3 linked regions of the Drosophila melanogaster genome follow. The protein of the gene in region 1 purifies or fractionates together with the protein of each later gene. This does not show direct contact. Each region holds a gene or a part of one and is shown on either strand. Other genes may lie near its edges.

Region 1 (3,563 bases):
TTGAAGAGCATATCCTGGGGAAGAGGTTTGTTTACGTAAAATTTGCTTTCTCTCGAGAGTTTTCTGTTGAATCATTAATTCTTCTTACCTCGCACTGCAGAGGGTCGCACACGAAGTAAATGCCCCAGAGTCCGGTGTCCTTGTAGCATGTGTTGAACGATTGGAAGCTGTGGCAAAGGTCTGTAGGGCAATAATAGTTAATAATCTCCATATCCTGGTCGTCTTACTGATGTACACTTACTGTCCTCAGCGCTGGCACGGGCCAGGTTGGAGGCGTTGTTGGCGCCACCGCCTTGGGAACGATCCCAAGCACCCACCAAGGTGTTGGCCACCATCAGGGGGATGTTGTCCTGGTCGGTCCAGCCGCAGCCTTCGACGGCGATGGCGACATGGGCCAGGGGCAGGGAATCGTCGCGCACACGCACCTCGGAGCCGGTGAAGCGGCAGGGAGTCACCTCCGCGGGCAGCACACTGGCCTCCAGGCCACCCAAGCTGCTGCAGGCAAGCTTGACCAGATCATCGTGCTTGACGCCGCCAGCAGCGGCCAGAACGATGCGCGAAGCCTTGTAGTGGGTCTGGATGTAGTCGGTCAGATCGGCCTTGCCAATGGACCTAAATAAATGAAGATTTTAATTAGAGACAGAGCATTTGTTATAAGAGCTGAATATACGTACTGAATGTTCTTGGTGGGTCCCAGGATGGTCTGGCCCAGAGGAGTGCCCTGATAGGCGGTGGCGTGAAGGTGATCGAAGACCACCTCCTGCAGGTTGCTCTCCACCTCCTGCATCTCGCGCAGAATCACCGAACGCTCGCGGGCGATCTCAGCCTCACCCAGCTTGGAGTTCTGGATGATGTCGGCCAGGATCTCGACGGCTTTGGGCACATCCTTGGACAAACACTTGGCGTAGAAGACGGTCTGCTCCCTGGAAGTGTAGGCGTTCAAGTGGGCGCCCAGGTTCTCAACCTCCAGCTCCAAATCCGTTTGCGAGCGCTTGGCGGTACCCTAAAAAGTGGCAGAAACGCATATTATACGCATTTAAAGCATCAAGCTAGTGAGCCAACCTTGAAGGCCATGTGCTCCAGGAAGTGGGCCACTCCGTTGTTCTTCTCGTTCTCGGAGCGCGACCCAGCATCGATCCACAGTCCCACGGTGGCGGTAGAGGCACCGGAATCCTCGCTAGCCACGCGGAGACCGTTGTCCAGCTTGGTCACCTGGGTGGCGGGTATGTTCAGCAGAGTCTTCTGTAGGGTGGCAGCCGACTTGTATCGCTGTAAGTTCGGGAAAATTGGGAAAACTATAGCCCAGAGTTAAGTAAAACACGAACATAACCTCAAAGTGCTTGTAGTGGGTTTTCCAAACAGTTTTCCCAAATATTTGTTTGAAAAACTGGATGGCTCTTGAATAACTGACCAACAAGAGGTTGTTTATCCCTTTTCTCACAAGAATAAACCACAATTGCAACCAAAAACACAATCATTTACAATTACGTAATTTAAATCCTCGGAAGCGTAATCATTGGATGGCTGTCTGGACTTACTTTGATCATGTCAACGCCCCGCATGAAGGAGCGCATATTCTGCGTCACGCCAAGAACTCGCAACGCCATCGTTTTATTAATTCGTTCAATAGCCTATTACTAAAAAATATTTAAGACTTTTTCGTCTGTGGCCGCGGCGCTGATGAAAAATTCACACACACACACCAATGTACTGCGCTGCGCAAAGTTGGCTGCGGCCAGTCAGCTGTTCGTGGAAAATAGCCCTGGTGTGCACACACTGGCTGAAACGGCAACACAATTTTTTCGTTTTTCCTGGTTTTCCGGCTTGCTATTGAAATAAACACCTAATTTGGATAGCTAACACGAAAATATTGGCCGACCTAATCAGCTAGGCCTACTAGTTACGAAATGGCGGGCAATTTTTGGCAGAGTTCGCACTCGCAGCAGTGGATTTTGGACAAACCCGATCTGCTCCGGGAGCGTCAGCACGATTTGTTGGCCCTTAACGAGGATGAATACCAAAAGGTGTTTATTTTCTTCGCAAATGTGATCCAGGTGCTCGGCGAGCAGCTAAAGCTGAGGCAACAGGTCATCGCCACGGCGACGGTTTACTTCAAGAGATTCTATGCGAGGAACTCCCTGAAGAACATCGATCCTCTGCTGCTGGCGCCCACTTGCATCTTGCTGGCCTCGAAGGTGGAGGAGTTCGGTGTCATTTCCAATTCACGACTGATCTCGATCTGCCAGTCGGCCATTAAGACAAAGTTCAGCTATGCGTACGCTCAGGAGTTTCCCTACCGCACCAATCACATCCTGGAGTGCGAGTTTTACCTGCTGGAGAACCTGGATTGCTGCTTGATTGTCTACCAGCCGTACAGACCGCTGCTGCAGCTGGTTCAGGACATGGGCCAGGAGGACCAGTTGCTCACCCTGAGCTGGCGTATCGTAAACGATTCCCTGCGCACCGATGTCTGCCTGCTCTATCCTCCTTACCAGGTTTGTGATCCTGATAATTTCTACAGCTTCCTCACATTTGAAGAACCTATTTTTTTCTAGATCGCTATAGCCTGCCTTCAAATCGCCTGCGTCATCCTGCAAAAGGACGCCACGAAGCAGTGGTTCGCAGAATTGAATGTTGATTTAGACAAGGTCCAGGAGATCGTGCGCGCCATTGTAAATCTGTACGAGTTGTGGAAGGACTGGAAGGAAAAGGACGAGATTCAGATGCTGCTGTCCAAGATTCCGAAACCGAAACCACCGCCTCAGCGTTAGAAGAGCTTCATAATCATTCATCATTAGCTGGTATTGCCCAATTGTGTGTTTGTACTCATATTACCAATGTATTTATGCCAATTAAACGAAAGTTTAAGCTAGGTGACTAAGCAATCAAAAATGTCATTTACAAATTATTTTGCCTTTATAATAATTATTTCTAAATTAAATTACATAATTGCTTAAGATTAACATGCGGTACGGATCGTCTGGATTTTTTATGGTTCATTTAACCTACAGATACTTAGCTTGACCCCTGGAGAACTTGGTGTTCAATATCTTGGCCTTGTCTACAATCTGCTTGGTCTGATTCTTGTCGATCTTGTTAAGTTTCAAGTCCACATCCCTACTAAAAGGTCTTCGTTCTGGCTTGGAACCCGATGCAGCCAGTTCTTTTTCCTTAAATTTATAACAATATTATATCCATATTATGTTTTTAAGAAATATTTTTCCTCGTACCTTTTCTCTCTGCTCTTTCCTAAGCTTTTTTTGATGTAGCTCCACTAGGGACTCCTCTCGCTTGTGCTTCTTTTTGTGCCTCTTGGCCATGCTCTCCTGCTCGTCATCCCGCTGCTGTTCGTACTTGACCTGTGCCATTTGCTCGAGTTCCTTCGAACTGAGCGACTTTGGGCCCGATGCAGCAGCATCCGCTTCACTCTGCGGGGTCTTCGTCCAGGATGATCGATCGCTAAAGTCGGGTCGCTCTTTTCCCTGATAGAAAGTGCGCTTCATATTGCTCAGGGCGGCAAGGCCGCTCTTCAGTCCCACATCTGGCAGCTCAAGCATCCACTC
Region 2 (4,609 bases), on another chromosome or scaffold:
TGCCCCAATGGTCTTTGGAGCTCCTCGTAGAGAAGGTCATCTCGTCGGCTGGCTTTCCCATTTCGCCCGGTGACTGCATGCGTCGCATCATGGAGGCCTTATCGTCAGGCTTTCTAATCAACGGACCGGGCCTGCTGGATCCTTGCGAGAAGGACCCCACAGACGCTCTACTCGAGTTGACCAAACAGGAGCGCGAGGATCTCACTGTGTCCGCACAGCTCTTCCTGCGCTACATTGCCTTTCGACAGATTTACAAAGTGCTTGGCATGGAGCCATTGCCGGCGATGAAGTTTCCAATGCGTCCATGGCGTGTCAACCGCAAGCGACGTAGGTCATCGGGCAAGGCAGGTGGTGCACCCGGCACGGAGACCGAGTCCAATGACATCGATGAGACCGGCTCCGATGAGAAGGTGGCCAAGAAGGAGGGTGTCGGAGGCACTCCTGCCAGCACCTAAGCGGCGAGAATAGGTTATATACACGTAGTCGGCTACTAATATTACAATTTCTCTCAAGATAAAAGCGCGACCAGGCGTCACTTAACTATAACCAACTCTAATCTATACACGAGTATTCAAACCGATTGGGGCACAAGGAGCTAAGCATGTCCAACATGTTGCCCAATCGGCGATTAGTGAATCCCAAATTACCCCAACTTTAACTAACAATATTTAGTGGATCATAAAACTTGTATTTTTCTAGCATTAGTGCAAGGCAAGGCAATGTATTCAGTTTGAATGTGAACATTATGGCCCTCACACTCATATACACAAATACTAGAACGAAGCGGATTTTAATAAAACGTATTGAACAATTATAATTAAATTATTTTTTTAATAAAGATAAGCTTAATTCATTCACGTAACTGGAAATCTTAATTGGAGATAATCTAGCACTGATAATATTCTTCGCTTTATAAATAAGTTCTAATTGAAATTAATTCAAATATATATTTATATATATGATATATAATTTTTAAGGAATTACAAGAAGTCGTTCCACTTAGAGCAAATTTTCTTAGTAACTGTTGGCATATTTTCAGCGGAACGTTTAGAGGATCGTGGCCCTGTGTTCCTGGTTTTCTTAAAGTTCATAGAGATTTCGTCGGAAAGTTCATCGGTTTTCGTAGGTTTTGCTGCAGGCTTTTGAGTAGTTTCAATGGTATTATCCACATAGTTTGCCCATTTATTTGTTTTCTTCTGAGGTGTGGTGTTTTCCTCTTTTTCTTGGCAGTCTTTCTCCTCTTCGAGCTGTTGCTTTGCCGTGAGGAATAAGCCCGTGTTCAGACATTCCTCCTGCATTCCGCGCTCTAAGTTGAGATGCTGCACCTTAACCCGGCATTCCGCTGCCGATCCTCGAAAGAATTCCTTGAGCAAACTTTGCTTTTGGCGGCAAATTTTACACTGCCATGTGCTTGCCTTTTTCACGAAGTCCACCTTGTTTAAATTAGGTATATATATATAAGTAGTTATTGAGTTCTAAGATATATTTCAGTTTGTTTGCACTCACCTGGTACATTTTGCATTGAATGCATTGTACCACGCGAATTTGCTGGGACATTATTCAAATTTGCGAAAAACCAAATAAAGAGACCAGGGATGGAAACCAACAGCACTGCAACAAGTGGAGTGAAAAAAATGTGGTTGCACAAATGTTAAAGCGTGATGACTACAGTTTAACAAGTAGTAAAACATTTACCAAAATTTGTAATTAACTAATTTTGGTACCTATGGTTAATGATTTAGCCGGGTGCTGATTCCGGTTCATAAGTGAACCAAATCGTTCCCCATCCCTGGTCCAAATATAAACAAACTTGCATCGTCTAATCGGCACTGTCGGTTTAATAAAATGCGATTGGTAAGTCATCCTGAGAAGTAAATAACAACTTAATTAGCGGAAGTGACTATCCACTTTGCAGTATTGTCTCAGCGGGGACCTGGCCAAGCCATGTTATATCATTACCTTCAAGGGCCTGCGGATTATGCTGGACTGCGGTCTCACGGAGCAGACAGTCCTGAATTTCCTTCCGCTGCCCTTCGTTCAGTCACTGAAGTGGTCCAATCTGCCCAACTTCGTGCCCAGTCGGGATCATGATCCCCAAATGGATGGCGAGTTGAAGGACTGCTGTGGCCGGGTTTTCGTGGACTCGACGCCCGAGTTTAATCTACCCATGGACAAAATGCTGGATTTCAGCGAAGTGGATGTGATACTTATCTCGAATTATCTTAATATGCTGGCCTTGCCGTATATCACGGAAAACACGGGGTTCAAGGGCAAAGTCTATGCCACGGAGCCAACGCTGCAGATCGGCCGATTTTTCCTGGAGGAGCTGGTGGACTATATCGAAGTGTCGCCCAAGGCGTGCACCGCGCGCTTGTGGAAGGAGAAGCTTCATCTGCTGCCCAGTCCCTTGAGCGAAGCCTTTCGCGCCAAGAAGTGGCGCACTATCTTTAGTCTTAAGGATGTCCAAGGCAGTCTGTCCAAGGTGACCATCATGGGCTACGACGAGAAGCTGGACATCCTCGGAGCTTTTATCGCCACTCCTGTCAGCTCGGGCTACTGCCTGGGCTCGAGCAACTGGGTACTGAGCACGGCGCATGAAAAGATTTGCTATGTCAGTGGTTCCTCCACGTTGACCACACATCCGCGGCCCATCAATCAGTCGGCGCTGAAGCACGCCGATGTACTCATTATGACCGGACTGACGCAGGCGCCGACGGTAAATCCGGACACGAAGCTGGGCGAGCTCTGCATGAATGTGGCCTTGACGATCCGCAACAATGGGTCTGCCTTGATTCCCTGTTATCCTTCGGGCGTTGTCTATGACCTCTTTGAGTGCCTCACCCAGAATTTGGAAAACGCTGGCCTAAACAATGTTCCCATGTTCTTTATTTCCCCTGTGGCAGACAGCTCCTTGGCGTATTCTAATATCCTGGCCGAGTGGCTTAGTTCCGCCAAGCAGAACAAAGTGTATCTTCCAGACGATCCTTTCCCACATGCCTTTTACCTTCGCAACAACAAGCTGAAGCACTATAACCATGTGTTCTCCGAGGGCTTTAGCAAGGACTTCCGGCAGGTTTGTCTAACATAATTGTGAAAACTTCATACTACAAATTCTCTGTCTTCCTTACAGCCCTGCGTGGTCTTTTGTGGCCATCCTAGCTTGCGTTTCGGCGACGCTGTTCACTTTATCGAGATGTGGGGCAATAACCCTAACAACTCCATCATATTCACGGAGCCGGACTTTCCGTATCTGCAAGTACTGGCGCCCTTCCAACCACTGGCCATGAAGGCTTTTTACTGTCCCATCGACACCTCTTTGAATTATCAGCAGGCAAATAAGCTGATCAAGGAGTTGAAACCAAATGTGCTTGTCATCCCAGAGGCATACACAAAACCACATCCCTCGGCCCCAAATTTGTTCATTGAACAGCCGGATAAGAAGATAATAACGTTCAAGTGCGGCGAGATCATACGTCTGCCATTAAAACGGAAGCTGGATCGAATTTACATTACCTCGGAACTGGCCCAAAAGATATCGCCAAAGGAGGTGGCGGCCGGCGTGACCTTCTCCACATTGACAGGAGTTTTGCAAGTTAAGGACAAGGTCCACTGCATCCAGCCATGTGCGGATAGCGTTAAAGACGAGACCATCTCGAGCAACAGCGCTCCGACAAAGGAGGATGTGCTGAAGAACGTCAAATACGAGTATGGCAGCATTGATGTAGATGCAGTGATGAAGAAGCTGGCACAGGATGGCTTCTCCAACATCAAGCTAGACCGCACTGGCGGCGCTCTGACTCTGAACCTTGTCAATGAGGACACAGTCATTAAGTTCGAGGACAACGAGACGCATATTATCTGCGGCGGAAAGCCAACAACCCGGCTCAAGCTGCGAGACACCATCATGAAATGCTTACAGAGTTTTTAAAAACATAAATGTATTCCTTACACCTAAATAACAACACATCATTACGCTTAGTTCTTTGCCTCCATAACGTCAGAGCAACGTTGACACGTTTTCTGCTCATCCTCCAGACCATAGCGACGACAACGTGGGCACAGTGATATCTGAAGTTTACTTAAAGCAATATCCAAGTCGCTATTATGGGACTGTAAGAGCGTAACTGACCCCACTTGCAATATCTCGCATAATTCAGAATTGCTCACAGACTCTCCAAGAGGGCTGTGAAGTTCTCGCAGCAAATCCAGCTGGCTTCTTTCCTTTCCTTTGATGGTCACGGCCAAGTGCCAGGTGTTAACATCTCCAGCCTGTTGGTTAATAAGTCGTTTAACATCGAACGCTGCATTAATCACTTCAGTGGCTTTGGTGTCCTGCCATTCAGGATTAGTCTGAACAATTTGCTCGTGGAATGCACCACCTGTGGTGTCATAGTAGCTCCAGCTTTCCTCCACCAGGAAGGGAACAATGGGCCATAAGCTCTTGCAGAGTTGTTGATAGCAGTGGGTAAGAGTTTGACGAATGGCCAGTAGCTCGTGATCATCACCACAATAAAGACGATCCTTGATGAGATGCACATAGACGGCGGACACCTGATTTGCAATGAAGTTTTGGACACAGGCGACAACACGATTGTACTCATAAGCTTGG
Region 3 (7,758 bases), on another chromosome or scaffold:
CTTGTTAAGAAGTGGCAGAGTCCCGCCTTCGATAACTCGAACAAGATTGCCAACCCGCCGACTCCCTGCCTGAAGATTAGGCACATGTTCGACTCCTCAGAGGTGGATCAGGCCAATCTGAAGCAGTCCATCGTGGAGTCGATCATCGAGAAGGTCGGCACGCGCTGCAAGATCTGCGATGTCCAGCTGGACGTGCAGTCCTGCTGCGTGTACATCCGCTGCGCCAGCGAGGAGGACGCCGGCACGATTCACAAAGAGATCAACGGCTGGTGGTTCGACAAGCGCCTGATTTCGATTAAATTCTTAAGACTGGAACGCTACCTGAGCCGTTTCCCCAAGCCCTCGGCCGAGCCACTTTACTTTCACACCAACGAGGCAGCCAACACTCACTCATAAAACACACAACTCTACATTAGATACTTAAGTTATTAAATGCGAATTTGTTTTACATGTACAGCTGGAGTTGTCGTATTTAATCGATTTATTATGAACTAGACTTTAAAACTTAAAATCTGCTAAACACTACCACTACTTAGCTAGGGAGTTGGACGACAGAGCGCTTTCCCCAGTTTCCAAGTGTTTGATAAGCCGGTACAGGGTAGCAGCCTCCTTGATTTTGCTGAAACCCACGCAGAAGGCTTCGATTTCAATGAATAGTTCCTGGAAAATAACAATAGAATAGTCACTAAGCACAGTCGAGGAAATGGTAGTAGCGCATACCCTAACGTTCACAATCTTGTTCCTAATCAAGGACTGCAGAAATACGCAAACGAGTCGCACCAGGCGAGACTGCATGTACTTGTCCTTGACTGTTTCGCAAGTCGAGATGCAATTGCTGATGTATAGGTGAATAAACTCAGTGGGCAAAGGTCCGGAGGTGGTTAGTCTGGAATGAGAGCTCGAGCATGTTAAAGAAGCCTTCAATACTCGATGTTTGGATTCCTACCGGTTGACCACCTCCATGGAGTGAAGTGTTATGTCCATGTTGACCAACACGTTGAAGTATTCAGTTATGTCGGAGGTCGTCATCAGTCTTAGCAAGATCTCAATGGAGATGAGAGGATTGCTTTCCACGAGCAGAGGTAGCTGAGATGGAAGCAATGGATAAGACATATATCTAGCAATGTTTTCGGTTCTTACCTTGTCCGGGGTCAGTCCATATTGGCGCGCAATGTCCGTGTTCTGCTTCAGCAGGTCGTCGAAGAGGATGTGCTGGTTCTGGAGGCTGAGTGGCTGGAGAAAAGCCTGCTCGATGAGGTGCTTTATGTTGGGGGTAATGTAGTTGGACTTGTCGTAGATGATCTCCACCTTGTCGCTGTTCGACTGGTTTATCCAGAGCAGCTCGTCCTCGAAGTCCATTAGGGGCGGGGCGATGGACAGAAACATGCTGGTGCGCTGATTTTAATTTACAATTATTATTATTTTCCTTGCAATTTTGTAAACAATTTTAGTGTGACCGCGTTGAGGGGTTCTTAAGAACAATCTGCACATGAGAGTGGGCCATCTGAAAAATGATGTATGCAAATGTGCGCCTAAGGGTGTTAGGTTACACACTTGTCAAAAAATAAAAATTAAAATATGAAAACAGTTCAATATTTATATTAAAGCCTGTTTCAAAGCTTCCATCGTTCCGAATCAGAGCAGTTGCACAGACTTCTGCATGCGTTAGCCATTGAGCCCTAGCGCCTGCACTCTGGTCACACTGCAACTGTTGCACGGCTGCAAATCGCAAAGCAAAATAAAATGCACCGCGCTTGAATTATCCATTTTATGGACAGAAAAAACCTTCACACACGAACAGAGAAAAATGGATCGCGGGAAAGGAAGCGGCTCCAACCGATCGCAGAAGAAGGTTCCGCTGGGCGGAGAACTCTTTGCGCTCGGCAAGAGCGTACGCGATGACTCCAAGTCGAAGATCCTGCCCATTAAGGGCATGTCGTCGTCGGACCGCAAGCGTGAAGCCTCCACCGCACTGGCCAGCTCGAGCAAGCGGTTCCGCGGCAACCTGAAGGACGCGGGCGCCCCGGACATGTCCTCCGGTAGTAGTCAGTGCGAGACGTGGGAGCAATTCGCCGTTGACTGCGATCTGGATACCGTGGTCGAGACCATATACGCGGCTTTGGAGCAGAACGACAGCGAAACTGTGGGCCGGCTTGTATGCGGCGTTATAAAGCAGACAACGACGAGCTCCTCGCGCTCCAAGGTGGACAACATTGCCCTTCTGGCCCTGATCTACGTGGCCAAGGTACAGCCGAGTATATTCTGCACAGACATAGTGGCCTGCGCGCTGCTTTCCTTCCTGCGGCGGGAGGCCAACGTGAAAATGAGGTACAACACCAACCTGCACATTCTGTTCGCCAATCTGCTGACCCGGGGCTTCATGGAGATTTCCCAGTGGCCGGAGGTGCTGCTCCGCATTTACATAGACGATGCGGTTAACGAGCGCTACTGGGCGGACAATGAACTGTGTGCCCCGCTCGTGAAGAACATATGCGCAGCCTTTAAAACCCGCACGCCCCACATCAGTCTCCTCCGCTGGGATGTGAGCTCGTCCCTGCCTTCTGGTCAAGCACACAGAGACAGCATGACTGTGGACGACGATTCCGGGGACAATTCCACACAGAGCTTGGATGCAAGTCCCTTAAATACCGAATCGGAACCAATTCCCGACGCTATGTGCACCACTAAATCAAGATTCAGCGATGCTGTGGTGCAGAAGCATGTCAGCGATGCCATTCGCGATCAGCTCAACAAGCGACAGCAGCAGGATAACTACACCAGAAACTTCCTAAAGTTCCTGTGCACCACTTCTGGCATTGCAGAGGTACGATGTCTGAGCATTTCCCGCCTGGAGCTGTGGATCCACAACGGAAAACTGGTCAAGTTCGCCCAGCAATTGCTCTCGTACATCTGCTTCAACATCAAGGGACGCAACACACAGGACAACGAAGTGCTCTTGGTGCTGGTGAAGATGCGGCTCAAGACGAAGCCCCTAATAAACCACTACATGTCCTGCTTGAAGGAGATGATTTTTCTGCAGCCGGAAATCTTGAGTACCGTAATGAAACTGGTCGTGCAAAATGAGCTATCCAACACCAGGAATCCAAACAATATGGGGATGCTGGGTAAGAGAAACAAATTTTTTCTTAAATTAAAATCATAATTCTTAATTTGAAACTTTTCCAGCCACAATGTTTCAAACATCTGCTGATCAATCAGCTGCCACTCTGGCTGAGATTTACCAGGAATTCTTGCTTCAGCGGGACGATTGCCTGCGCACCCTGCGCGTTTTCTTACGGGAGCTTGTGCGGATGCTGCGCTTCGATGTGAACCTGGTCAAGTTTTGCAAGACGTTTCTCAGTGAGCGGGAGGATCTGACTCCTCAAATCGAAATGTTCGAGTTTAAGGAGCGAATTTTCAACTCCATGGTGGACATTGTGTGTCTCTGCATGTTTCTGTCGGCCACGCCACAAGCTAGGGAAGCCAGTTTGTCCCTGAAAACCAATCGGGACACCAAAAACAACCATGCTCTGCTCAAGCTGTACAATCAGATGTCACAGATTCAGTTGGACACAGTGTCCTGGATGTACGAAACAGTACCCACGCTCTTCAAGATTCCGGCTGCGGAGTACCACCAGGCGCTGCACAAGCTGCTACTGCTGGACAGTCCGGAGCAGTATTCGCGCTGCGATCAGTGGCCGTCAGAGCCGGAGCGAGGAGCAATCCTGCGGATTATCTCTGAGACGCCGATTCACGAGGAGACCCTGCTGCGAATTATATTGATTGGCATCACCAAGGATATTCCTTTCTCTATCGCAAACACCTTTGATGTCCTGCTGCTGGTCATAAAGCGAGTTTCCGGGATGAAGGCTACCAATATTCCGGCGGTGCAGGCCAACAAATTCGACATCATCGACTTCCTGTTCAGCATGTCAGAGTACCATCATCCGGAGAACATTCGCTTGCCTGCGGAGTACGAGCCACCAAAGCTGGCCATCATCGCCTTCTACTGGAAGGCGTGGCTCATATTGCTTATGATATCCGCACACAACCCCTCCTCGTTTGGAGCCTTCTGCTGGGACCACTATCCCACAATGAAGATGATGATGGAGATTTGTATAACGAATCAATTCAACAATTCATCAGCCACCAAGGATGAGTTGCAGGTGCGTGCTTAATTATATAAACAAACTGGCGGTGCTACAATAAAGATTTTTCAGATAATAACCATGGAACGGGATCACATTCTGCAGTTCGAGACGTACTTGGCTGCCCAAACATCGCCGCATGCTGTTATCACTGAGGAAACTGCGATTCTAATCACTCAGCTCATGCTGATGGACCCGATGGGCACTCCGCGCAAAGTGCCCTCCATGGTCCTAGATCAGCTAAAGTTCCTTAATCAGACCTACAAGCTTGGCCACTTATTCTGCCGCTGCCGCAAGCCGGACTTGCTGCTGGACATAATTCAAAGGCAGGGCACCACGCAATCCATGCCCTGGCTTTCCGACTTGGTTCAGAACAGCGAGGGCGATTTCAGCCATCTCCCAGTGCAATGCCTGTGCGAGTTTCTGCTGTTCAACGCGCACATCATCAACGAGGAGAATAGCCGCGATGCCGAGTTAGTCAATTTCCTGAGAAACCTGATATTTGACGGCAATCTTAGCCACCAAATCGTTTGCGAGCTTTTGGACTACATATTTAGACGCTTGTCGTCCACGGTGAAGCAATCGCGAGTCGCCGCTCTTTCGGGTCTGAAGATAATCTTCAGGCACTCTGGCGACTTTGAAAACGAATGGCTCCTGAAGTCGCTCCAGCAAATTCCGCACTTCTACGAGGTGAAACCCTTCATAATTCCCCAGCTGCGAGCTGCCTGCCAGGTGGAGAATTGCCCGGAACTGATTATGGCGTACATTCAGTTCATCACTGCGCACACGCTCAACGATCCGGTCAACGAAATGCTGGATCATGTCATCGATATGGCGCAGCTGATTGTAGAGCGCAGCACAATGTTTCAGCACATTATCATTTCGCAGGAGGACTACGACTATGTGCCCGACGAGAACCGCATTCAGACTCTGAAGTGTCTTTTCGTCATGTTCAACAACTATATAATTAAGCTAAGGGAATACCACGAACCGTACGAGTGGACCGAGTATCCGGACCTGCTGATGGTTCAGTTTGACGATGGAGTACAGCTACCGCTCCACATAAACATCATTCACGCCTTCATTATCCTGCTCACCTATTCCAACAGCAACATGCCCGAATCGATACCCATTTTGGACTATTGGTTTCCGCCCGGACGACCAGCGCCCGTCGCCTTTCTGCCCAGCATGCCGCAGGAGCAGGTGCAACTGCTGCCCGACTGGCTGAAGCTGAAGATGATCCGCTCATCGGTGGACAGACTAATTGAGGCAGCTCTCAACGATCTAACGCCGGATCAGATCGTGCTCTTTGTGCAAAACTTTGGCACGCCGGTCAACTCGATGTCCAAGCTGCTGGCAATGCTGGACACCGCTGTACTGGAGCAGTTTGATCTGGTGAAGAATGCCATTCTGAACAAGGCCTATCTGGCCCAGCTAATCGAGATTCAGCAGGCGCGGGGTGCTAAGAATGGGCACTACACCGTACAGGCCTTGGATCTGCATTCCCACTCGCAGACTGTGCCAGATCTGCCCAAGATCAGTGTGGTTATTCAGGAGGCCGTTGAAATTGATGATTACGATTCTTCAGACTCGGATGATAGACCCACTAACTTCCTGGCCACCAAGGAGGTAGCCCAAACCATTCTCACGCAGCCCGACCAGTTGACTGAGTCGCGAAGTGACTGCCGATCCTTGATTCAAAAACTGTTGGACATGCTAGCAAGCCCGAACAGCAATAGAGCGGATGTGGTTAACGCCATAACAGAGGTGCTAGCCGTGGGTTGCAGTGTCACGATGAGCCGTCACGCCTGCACATTTTTAAGGACTTTCTTCAGCTGCATGCTGCACAGCGACAAGTATCACATACTGGAGAACGCTCTCCAAAAGAACTTAAGTATGTTTAAGCACACATTCGCCGACTCCAGTCTGCTGCAGAAATCCGAACTCTATCATGAGAGCTTGGTGTTCATGCTGAGAAACTCTCGCGAGATTTATGCGCAGCAGTTTAAGGCGAATACCGCCTTGGTGGCACGAAAACGGATCGTCCGGGCGATCGTCCAAAGCTTCGATCAGACCAAGGACAGCAAGACCGTCGCCAAGTCCAAGAGCGACCAGCTCTTCCACAACGGGCTCTTCATCGACTGGCTGTCCGAAATGGATCCCGAGATAGTTTCCACTCAGCTAATGAAGGAGCGCTTTCTGTTCTCAAAGTCCTGCAGCGAGTTTAGGTTCTATCTGTTGTCCCTGATCAACCACCAAACCAACTGGGACACGATCGAAAGGATTGCCGAGTACCTGTTCAAGAATTTCCATGAAGACTACGACTACGCCACCGTCCTCAACTACTTCGAGGCACTGACCACCAATCCGAAGCTGTGGAAGGGACGCGACAAGTACATGTCGAAGAACGTACGGCCGGATGCCTTCTTCATGCTGAGGACTTCTGAACTGGAGCCGTTCTCCCACTTCATCCTTCACGAAGGGCTTTCCGAGGTCAAGCTGGACAGCAAAAACTATGATTTCAAGCTCTGCTCGCGAATGAACCTACTGTTTAAGCTCACAGAGAAGCGACGAGACCTCATGGTCAAGGTAATGGAGCACGTGGAGAAAAGTTCGGTGTCCGACTACTTGAAACTGCAGGTCCTCCAGCAGATGTACATCATGTATCCGCGCATCAAGTTTCTGAAACCGGGCAAAACCGGCGAGCAGGCGTACAAATTGCAGAATCTGAAGGGCTGCCAGGCGGACAAGGTGTCCAACAATCTGATCACCTGCTTGGGCAGTCTGGTGGGCAAAAAGGACTTTGAAACCCTGTCCACGGACACCGAGCTGCTCCTTCGCAAGCTGGCTGCCTCCCACCCGCTTCTCTTCCTTCGCCAGCTGGGCGTGCTGTCGTCCATTATGCAAGGTCGGGCCCAGCTCAGCATGAAGGCCCTGCGCGAGGAGCACCACTTCCACCGATTTGTACAGATCCTGAGGACGCTGGAGCTGCTGCAACCAACCATCTTTGAGGAGGCGTACAAGAACGAGATCCAAAACACGCTGTCGTGCTACTTCAACTTCTTCAAGCACCACAGCAACGTAAAAGAGGCCTGCCAAATGCTGAACAAGTTTGTGCAGATGCTCCAAGCCTACATCAACTACAATCCCTCAAGTGCTCTGCTCTTCATCGAACAGTACGTGGGCATCCTGAAGGAACTTGCAGCCAAGTACACCTCACTAGGCAAACTGCAGGTTTTGGTCCAGGCCGTTGCCCTGCTGCAGCACAAGTCGCACTCGGCGACGGAATTGGACGACGAGGAAGTTAAGTACGAGTACGATCTGGATGAGCATTTCGATGTAAAGCCATCGGCCAGCAAGCCCGTGGTAACAGAGGATCCCATCGAAGTGAATCCGCAAACACCCATCGATCCAAGCAGCAGTAGGGGTCCCTTATCGGTTCTAACCTTGGGCTCGTACAGCCGGTCGAACTACACGGACATATCGCCGCACTTCCTCGATCTGGTCAAGATCATAAAGCAGTCCAACACGGAGGACGTGGTCTTGGGTCCCATGCAGGAGCTGGAGTGCCTCACTTCCAAGAGATTTGTGTTCATCAACGAGCTGTTCG

Evidence for each region.
Region 2: the proteins of CycC (region 1) and IntS9 purify together in Drosophila melanogaster (affinity purification with western blotting, with the first as the bait; one study listed by BioGRID). This does not show direct contact.
Region 3: the proteins of CycC (region 1) and IntS1 purify together in Drosophila melanogaster (affinity purification with western blotting, with the first as the bait; one study listed by BioGRID). This does not show direct contact.

What each region holds. Positions count from the first base shown.
Region 1 is NT_033777.3:14,888,402-14,891,964, reverse strand, and holds CycC (cyclin C), read left to right. Parts: upstream 1-1,759; 5' UTR 1,760-1,907; coding exon 1,908-2,495; intron 2,496-2,555; coding exon 2,556-2,771; 3' UTR 2,772-2,961; downstream 2,962-3,563. Other genes in the region: UQCR-C1 (Ubiquinol-cytochrome c reductase core protein 1), read right to left, coding at 1-14, 89-180, 242-612, 675-1,003, 1,063-1,269, 1,539-1,607; CG33332 (uncharacterized protein), read right to left, coding at 3,006-3,170, 3,231-3,563. UniProt on the Drosophila melanogaster protein: Component of the Mediator complex, a coactivator involved in regulated gene transcription of nearly all RNA polymerase II-dependent genes.
Region 2 is NT_037436.4:16,102,800-16,107,408, reverse strand, and holds IntS9 (integrator 9), read left to right. Parts: upstream 1-1,781; 5' UTR 1,782-1,845; coding exon 1,846-1,854; intron 1,855-1,915; coding exon 1,916-3,073; intron 3,074-3,130; coding exon 3,131-3,928; 3' UTR 3,929-3,975; downstream 3,976-4,609. Other genes in the region: Zn72D (Zinc-finger protein at 72D), read left to right, coding at 1-455; CG43295 (uncharacterized protein), read right to left, coding at 981-1,433, 1,507-1,557; IleRS-m (Isoleucyl-tRNA synthetase, mitochondrial), read right to left, coding at 3,976-4,609. UniProt on the Drosophila melanogaster protein: Component of the integrator complex, a multiprotein complex that terminates RNA polymerase II (Pol II) transcription in the promoter-proximal region of genes.
Region 3 is NT_033778.4:24,036,255-24,044,012, forward strand, and holds the start of IntS1 (integrator 1), read left to right. Parts: upstream 1-1,688; 5' UTR 1,689-1,807; coding exon 1,808-3,125; intron 3,126-3,186; coding exon 3,187-4,166; intron 4,167-4,220; coding exon 4,221-7,758. Other genes in the region: MAN1, read left to right, coding at 1-396; Not11 (CCR4-NOT transcription complex subunit 11), read right to left, coding at 529-886, 947-1,086, 1,141-1,386. UniProt on the Drosophila melanogaster protein: Component of the integrator complex, a multiprotein complex that terminates RNA polymerase II (Pol II) transcription in the promoter-proximal region of genes.